Schizosaccharomyces pombe: one gene and its partner. Changing the gene in region 1 together with any one later gene gives a genetic interaction. Each region holds a gene or a part of one and is shown in the gene's direction. Other genes may lie near its edges.

The links. A genetic interaction does not mean that the proteins touch.
Region 2: mutations in fil1 (region 1) and get2 together harm fitness more than expected from each alone (negative genetic interaction), as found in Schizosaccharomyces pombe (one large-scale study listed by BioGRID).

The regions. Positions count from the first base shown.
Region 1 is NC_003421.2:809,767-815,219, forward strand, and holds fil1 (zf-GATA type transcription factor), read left to right. Parts: upstream 1-1,923; 5' UTR 1,924-2,888; coding exon 2,889-4,562; 3' UTR 4,563-4,942; downstream 4,943-5,453. UniProt on the Schizosaccharomyces pombe protein: Activates genes required for amino acid biosynthesis and acts as a master transcriptional regulator during amino acid starvation. Binds variations of the DNA sequence 5'-GAT[AC]GC-3'.
Region 2 is NC_003421.2:187,476-190,930, forward strand, and holds get2 (GET complex subunit Get2), read left to right. Parts: upstream 1-1,638; 5' UTR 1,639-1,783; coding exon 1,784-2,308; intron 2,309-2,368; coding exon 2,369-2,617; 3' UTR 2,618-2,926; downstream 2,927-3,455. Other genes in the region: vacuolar H+-ATPase assembly protein Vma21, read left to right, coding at 625-674, 848-939, 993-1,117; kinetochore protein fta7, read left to right, coding at 3,255-3,370.

The DNA.
Region 1 (5,453 bases):
TATCTCTCCAACGATTCCAATCTCGAATCCTTACGCTTTCTTGAATGACTCCAATCTTTCAAATACTTTATCTGGTCGGGTTGTTTTATAACTGTTGAACGAATTGATGAACGATTATTTCTTTTATTTCTCTTTCATCTTCTCACCCAAGCCTATCACATTAGCGGGATTGCTGAAAAATCATGTGTTTACACTTCCACGTGCTAATTTCCTTTCATCCCAGCCCATTCCATTTATTCCACTACAAACCTTGACCATGTAAACATTGAGAAACGATTGGGTTGAAGGACAATTGGGTTCTGTTTGTATCAACAACAACAGTTTTTCCTCTAGTAACCAACGACCAACAAAATGCCTGAACATAGAACCGGTGTGAATAAGCAAAGTTGGCGAAATGAACAAAACAACGTTGCGCAAACCAATAATTGCACTTTGCTACTGTCAAGTGATGCGCAACATTCATTTACTCATCAACATCGTTATGATAAGTGTATTGCACTTTTATCAAACAAGTTTTGCAATTTAGTATGCGCATTTCAGAGAAAATTCATGCTATAGCAAACTCATGTTGAATAACAAAAATACGCACAAAGCAAGGCCCATTACTTTCTTGTAACACTCTATTTTTGGGGCCTTTACAACCCGAGAAATAGGATCAATCGATCATCCTTCACTAGCCTTGTCACTTGCCTTCCGTGTGTAATACCAACGGAACTCATTCTCCGGTAGGAATGTACTTCTGCTGCCTTCATAGTCGCTACTGCGCAGACCGAAAAAATCCGAAAATTCTTTAAATAGCGAGAGCGAGTGTATTTGCGGAAATAAGCTTAACAATTGATGATGGAACACGGAAACTAAGCTTAAACGAATACAGTCACTATCGTTATAGCGGGTCAGAAAGGTTGCAGGCAGAGAAAGTAAATGCGTTAGACTGAGTATAGAAAAGTATAGTAGACAAGGCATTTTGGACAGGCAAGGCATGTCGGACACATGTGTAATAATAAGGCATAAACAGTTTTAATTTTTAAGAGTAGAATTTATTACAAAAGGACTTTTAAGTAATTTTCTTTTTAACCAACAATAGGACTCGACATTTACAGTTAATCGAGTTTTTGTTGTGAAAAATTCCAAATCCTACTTTTTAATTACATCTTCTTTTATATTCATATTCATATTCATATTCACATCCACATTCCACTCATACATTCACATCATAACATTCATTTTATTATTTCTATAAACAATCGGTTCAAAAAGAACCATTCCTATTGTTTAACGCTTCTTTCTTTCGCTGTGTTCCTTCTTTCCCTTCTATGATCATGTAGTTTTCTCCTCAATTGATTCTAAATTGACTGAGAAATACACAACTATTTTATTATCAAGTTCAAATTGTTAATTCGCTTTTCTCCTACCTACTTACTTAGTTACCTCGTGTCTATTTGTCTCTATAGTAACCCTTTCGCCCCCATTTTATATATACACCCCCACACTTCCTATATAGCGATATCGGCGCTACTCACTTCCACAGCCGGTTGATTTTACTGCATTCCATTCTCTTTCGCTATATACTTTAATGCACTTGAACGATGGTTCATTGCGTGCTGGCCTGGGTGTTGCTTTCAAGTCTTTGCAATCTTTGATTGGCTATCTAATGTTTTTCCCACCACTTACAAAGCGACTTAGATGCGATAAGCTTTGGGGCCGATGTCACCCCGATCGTTCGATAAGCCCTCTGATAAGGCGCTGTCCCTACTATTATGCCTCCTCTCTCTACCAATCAAAAGTTGCCGTACCTGTCCATAATAGCTGCATGAATGTTGACTACGTAGTGGCTTTCTTGTCACGTTCTTCCTATTTAAGAGCTCGTTGCGCCGCCGGTTTTTTTCTTTTCCTTTTTTATTTTACCACTACACCAAACTTACTAACAACCAACAACACCACAACTACCACACAATTTTACTAGTACAGCGTTAACATCCTGATCTCGTAAATCGTCTATTACATTTATTTTAAGCTTTTAAATCTCTATTTTTTTGTCTTCTACTCCATTTAGTGTTGACATATTTTTTTTTACATACCTCAGTTTTCTAGTTACTTTTCAGATTTAATTTTTCCCAAGATGTGTTAAATTATCTATAAAGTCCTCGTTTTTTTAAGTTGATTTTACTTCCTTGTTGAAATCGAATATACTGGTTGTTTTTGTTGTTTCGGATCTTTTGTTTCCACCCCCAATATTACGTTTACAAAGCATGCTTCGTTCGTCCTCGTGTCGTCGTTAAGTCTTTTTCTCCTAAATCATTCAAAATGTTGTCTCATTGAGAATTTATCGTAGGTTGTTTTTCACCTCATTTTTTTTATCTTCTTAATTTTGCTTTAGGTTTTCTATCCCTCTACCAAAATTTTTCTCCTATCTCTTTGTTTATCGAATATCTTTTTAGTATTTTTCGGTTAATCTTTTCTACTATTGTGGTTGATTAAATAATTTTCTCTCTTATTTTAATCGTCTTCCTTTTATCTCTTTTTTATAATTCTCCAATATGATGTAACTCGCAAGTTAATTTCGTTGGAATAATCCTTTATTATTTACTCATTTCGGTCAAATATCTTTCTTTTCCTCTGGTTGTAACATTTAGAGTCTTTAGAATCTCTACATCGTTTGGTCGGGTCTATTGTTTTTTTTAACTATCCCCAAAGTGCATTATGCTTCTTATTTTTTTACAAAGTCAACATTAAACATTTATTACTTTTTGTCTGTGTGTGACTAACATATTACTCGCGTGTGATTGAATTCGGTATTATAATTTCGTTTCTCTCCCTTGTTTTTCTATTTTTTTTTATAATTATCTTTGTGTCTGTGTGTTTATAGCAAATCCAATTATTTTGTTATCATGAATTACAACGATACTACTGAATTTTGTTTCCCCTTTGGTCAGCCCTCTTTCCCTACTTCGGCTATGACTGAAGGGTCGTTTGACGGTCAATTTTCCGAATTTGACCCTACTTTCACTTCCCCCGCTGATACAGCATTATCCGATATCGCAAATCTTCCCATTGATCTTCATAAGGATGCCCTTTTCGCCAATGCGCCAGGCAAGGGAGATGTTGATTTTGATTCGGTTTCAATGTTGCAACTGCTTTCTGATTATCCCTTGGCTTTTAACTCTACGGAGAATAATCAGAAATTGCAAACCAACCCCTCTGCTCGTTGGTCTCTTCTTGACAGCATGGATTTCGACAATCAAAGGCAATGTTCTGATTTAGAGTCTGCGCAACTCGGTGATTCCGGATTGCTAAAGTCTACCATACTGTCGAACTCTCATATTGACATTGCTGCCTTGTCTTCCAGTAAGACGTCAGAACCCACACCCCCTTTCTCTTATGTACAGACTCCCTGCATCCCAACGCCAAGCTCGGCATTAATCGATACACCATTCCCTGGTGCTCTTGATTCCGAGTTTGGTTTCGATGAAAGTCAAGCCCCTCTTTTCCCTGCCTCTGATGGTGATTGTCAGCGTGCGTTTGCTTCCATATCTTATCCCACCAACTATGGATGCAAGCTAAGCAATCTGGGCTTCATGTCACCTCAGTCGCCTGTTAAAAGGGAGCTGAACGATTCCACGTCTCCCTCGAAGCTCTCCGAATCGAGCTCATCCTTGACTGGTTCGTCTTCTGCTTTGCTATCCCAATCTGAGTTCTTGGGCTCAGTTCCTAGCTTGTCCGATTCGATCGCTACCGTTGATCCATTCTTTTCGTTTGAAAGCTTTGAAACAGATGAAAAGGCTCGTTCATTACTCATGGATGCTTCACTTAAGTTGCCCCAATTTTCCACTCCTAATCTGTCCTCTAACTCTTCTTCTCTCAGTCTGAAGTCGACGTTAGCAGAGGGAATGAAAGGCTCTACACCCCTTGCTGCCGTTAAAACTGAAAAGGCTAGTAAGGCAGCACGTGTAATGAAACAAAAGAAACATCGCGAACATGTCTGTTTTAACTGTGGAGTCACTGAAACGCCTTTATGGAGACGTACATCAGATAAGCTTAACTTCTTGTGCAATGCTTGTGGTCTTTACAACAAACAGTATGGTGTTATGAGACCATTGTCTCCTAGAAACAAAGGCTCATCTAAGGCACTTGAGAATTTGGTGTGTGCCAATTGCTCTTCTACGAAAACTTCGTTGTGGCGCAAAGATCGTCACGGACAGACTGTTTGTAACGCTTGTGGTTTGTATGCCCGTCTTCATGGCCACAATCGTCCTATTGGTTTGAAGAAGAACAAAATTACCCGACGTCGTCGTGGTAAGGGCCCTGGTGGAGAAGATGGAATGTCTGACGAGGTAAAATCAGAATTCCCCGTACTCTCAAAATCCGTCACGATGGCCGAGATACTCTCTTCAAAGGGTCTTGAATCACCTCAGCTTACCAACTCTGTTTCTGTTTCGAAAATGCCGAATACCGATGCTGATGTTTCGTTGGAGCATGCAAAAATCTCTTTTGATTCGTTGGACAACTCGGTTATTGTCAAGAAGGAGGAAGAAATAGAGAATAAATTTTCGGTCTCTTGTTGAAAGACATTACTAAGAGTCTATTGATTTTTTTTTCACCTTGGTTTTTATAAACTCTTTTATTTTCTACTCTAGCTTTTGTTTATGTTTTTATTACAGCTTGCAAGTTTCAATCGTTTTGAAGACTACGCTTCGTACTGAAAGATTACTTTTGTAGCTAAAACCTATACATTTGAATACACATTTGGGATATACTTTTGATTAGATATGGCATAAAGGGTTGATGTGTGGGTTTATTGGAATTTTTTATTTTTTCATTTTTCTTGTTCTTTTTTTTTGTATCTTGCTTTTGCAACTATAAACAAAAATTTCACTTGATATTTTATTTCTAGTCTTACTGATTGAAATTAAATTGACTGATCAATTTTTAAGTGCTCTTTACATTTTAATGTTGTTGCTGTAGCTTGTAGTTTTTTTTAGTCTTGAAGTTAAGTTGTGCAAATGTTAGTTAGCGAATACGCAGTTTGTTTTAAAAGTAGATACCCGCTAAGGAGTGTGTAACAACTCAACTGCCGAATGAACTAGCCCTGAAAATGGATGGCGCTTAAGCGTACTACCCATACCTCACCGTCTGGGTTAGCTTTGAGAAGCTCAGACGAGTAGGCAGGCGTGGAGCATTTTTTTGTATGTAAGAGGCAAAGAAACTTTGTTGAAACAAGTAACGTATTAATACTCTTTGAATTAGTTTGGCTTTATTCAAAAATAGCGGTGAATTAAATAACAATAAATTATTGATGTATTGAATTTAATTAAGCACTGATAAAATGTTATAAAAGCGTGTTTGTCAATTGTTACCGATTCAGTACAGTGTAAGGACAATATAGGCATATTTGCCATTAGCCTTGCTTTTTAGCTTTACACAACGAAAATAATATAAATATTAAAACATATGAA
Region 2 (3,455 bases), 620 kb from region 1:
TGCTTTTTATTACCTCAAAAATCTACTTCAACAGTTTGATTTCAAGCTAAAATGGTAAATTTTAATGCATAAAATATACCCATTGAGTAATCTATTTGCTCTTTTTTTTATACCGCTCGTCCGCTGATGAAAACGTCAACATAGCAATGCTTGTATCAAGTGAAGATGGATGGTGTGAAATCACTTGTTATAACAGAGGAGTAATTGAGTATTGCTTTTTTGATCACCACTGTTTGATACACCCTTGCCTGCTAAACAATTCAATGTGAGTTTGTAAATTGCAGTTTTATTTATGATCATCGACCAAGCCCTAACATACATTTGTTACTCGATTTAATTTAATTAATTTAATATTTCAACAAGGAACTATGAATTTGGAGACTTTGTCGCCCAGGTATTTTATTATATGTAAACACAAATTAAGCAGGTCGCACGTATAAGTCTACCGTATGTTATAAACAAAGATAATAAATTTTAATAAGATGACAAATAATTTCAGGGACTTTCAACATACGAATATCAATTGTCTACTTTTCATGTTGACAAAACTTTGACCTCTTATAAAGCAAGGTCCCAATAAATTAGGTCTCCACCACCATCAACAACTTGCATTCGTGATTTAAAATGGAAAGGAAATCCCAAGTTTCAGATACAAATAATAACTCTATACCTACGTAAGTTTATTAATTATTAGTTTATTTCTTTACGCCGGACTGCGAATTGGTTTTAAGAAATTCCATACAACCTTCCACAACAGTCTATAATCTTAGGTCTCTTATATTGTTTATTCCTTTTATATTCTTAACTAAATATGTTGGAAATGAAAACTTACTAACTTTCGTAATAGTAATGTTCTGCTTAAGTTTGTGGGTTTTAGTGTCGCATTATTTACATTACCACTTATAACTTATTTTTGGACGTTGAAGACTTTATTCAAAGGTATATACTAATTGTTGAATAATTTTGATTTTTACTGATAAATTTTGTTTTAGGATATCAAACATTGTACGCAGGATTATCTGCAGCTGTAATGGTCAATATTATCTTGGCCTTGTATATAGTCGCAGCCTTTCGCGAAGACTCCGGGACTCCCAAGAAGGATATAAAAAGGGAATAATAAATTTTCAGTAACCATTTTACTACTATTTTGAGTTATGACTTTTGCATTTCAATTCTAAATCAAATTTTGAAGCGGATTTTCCTTCTGCCAACGTATTTAGGTGAATCATTCGATGTCTTTATTTTTTTTCGTTAAAAGTATCGCAAAATGAAAGACTTTAGCTGGGACTATCCTATAATCTACTGGATTTTGCATGTATGTCTATTGAATAAGGTGCTACCACAAAGCTGTTGCTGGTGATACTACTCCTTTTTGTATCTGAATTAATGAACGGAAATTTTTTTGTTTAATTTTTCGCTAGTCTGTAATGAAAATATGTGTCTGTTCTTTAGTTTTTTGTAGTTTCCCAAAAAACACGAATTAGCAAAATGCAATTGATATGGCAATTTCAACCAATTTTATAATTAAATTTTCCTTTTTATAATATAAGGCTAACATGTATGATTCTTATCAAACATAACAGCTGTAGGAATTCAGTATTCTTCTAACACTTATGCATCACTATTTTCTCTCACCCCAAACCCCTCGTATATTGGAAAGTTGTTCAAGTGAGCATTATTGATTTTTTCCCAATATAATATTGATAAAAATATATATCTGTAAAAAAGTTTGGTGTTAATTATTTATTTTATTCTGTTTTCTGCTGATTCAAAGACTTCGAACATGTCGACTGCCAGTGAACAAGCTCGACTTAGACGTGAACGTCGACTGAATAAAATCAAACAAGGAGGTGCATCTAGAATCAATCAAATTTTGGGACAGAATTCAGATGACAGTCAATCCGATGTTCGAGCTACAGCTTCCGAGGAAGCTGTACATTCTGAAACTGCAACACCAGTAACGCCAATGTCTTCAGGATTCATGGAAAAGAGAGATGATACCTTCAATGCTGATCAAGTGGAATATCTTCCTTCCCAAGATTACCATAATTTGGAAAGTTCGCCTTTTAAACTTCAGTGTGATTCTCCATATAATGTACCACCTGAAAACATGTTTAATCAAAACCCTGATTTTGCAAATTTTTTTCAAGCTATGTTACAATCCGCAAAGGAGGGATCTGATACAAATTTTCAAGGTGAAAACGAACAAATTCCTCAAGCTACAGCTCCTTTAAAAAACTTAGTTGAGAAATATGCTCATCTTTTGGCAATTTCTATAGTAGTGATTGTTTGTTATTTTAAACATTTGGTAAGTCCTCATCTTCCTTTTTTGAAATTGTTTTTTTGCATACTAATATATTTATTTCAGCCATTACTTCCGTGGACATTTACTGTCGAAGCTTGCTTGTTCTCTATTCAATTTGTTTTGGACCGTAATAATGGACCTTCTTATTCTCTTCTAGCATCTCTGGCCTCTCAGCTTCCCCCTCCCTATGGAGCAATGATCCGTCATACAACAAGTTATGTTCCGTATTTCACACAATTGATTACAGATGCGTGTATGACAATATTTGCGTTAGGTTTATGTTGCTATTTTTATCCGTCGTTGGTGTATTAATAGTTGTTAATTTTCAGCATTTACTATTTATGAATCTTGGTTTTGCTTCGCAAATTGGTGATCGATTAATTAGCATTCAATTTTTGTTTAGATGAAATAAACTAACTGATTAAGCGAGAAAGACTTTTCAAACCCTTAGGAATTCAATTTTATATTATCTTTTCAACATCTAAACGATTTATATTCTAAAACATACTGCACTTCATTTGAACTGCTTTGCAACACATGCCATATTTACGATTGTCGGTACGTTTTATTTATTTTCTCTTTTAATTCAATGGTAGCAATAGTATATGATTTAAAAAGCTCTGTTTATTGTAATTGTAGTATTAATTAAAAACAGACTACTTAAAGTAATTTCTGGGATAGCTGTGAAAACATTATAACTATGATTTTTAAAATCTTTTATCAACTTATTATTGAAATAAAATAAGTAATTGAGAATTGGCTTGGTTGACTGTATATATGTAAAACAACTTCGTCCGAAGCGCTACAACAGCATGCAAACGTTGAAACGGCGAATTCTTGTTATAGAGAAATTTTTCATATAAAACCATACGTACATATTTTGCTATTTAAGTTCCAGATTGCTTAAAAGAAAATTGAAGTGGTAGCACCATTTTTATAAATATATGCAATGGAAATGAAAAGGCGCGTTCGCGCGGTGCGTCGAGACCAAATTCAAAAAAGATGGCGTCCATTAGAGGATAAGCAGCGCCAAGAAATAATAATTATTTTTAGGACGTGTTCAAGGTAAGTAATTGAGAATCATGTTATTGCTAAAAGTGCTTGTGCTTTTTAGCGCTTACTTGTGTACTGAAAGGGAAATCAAAGTTTG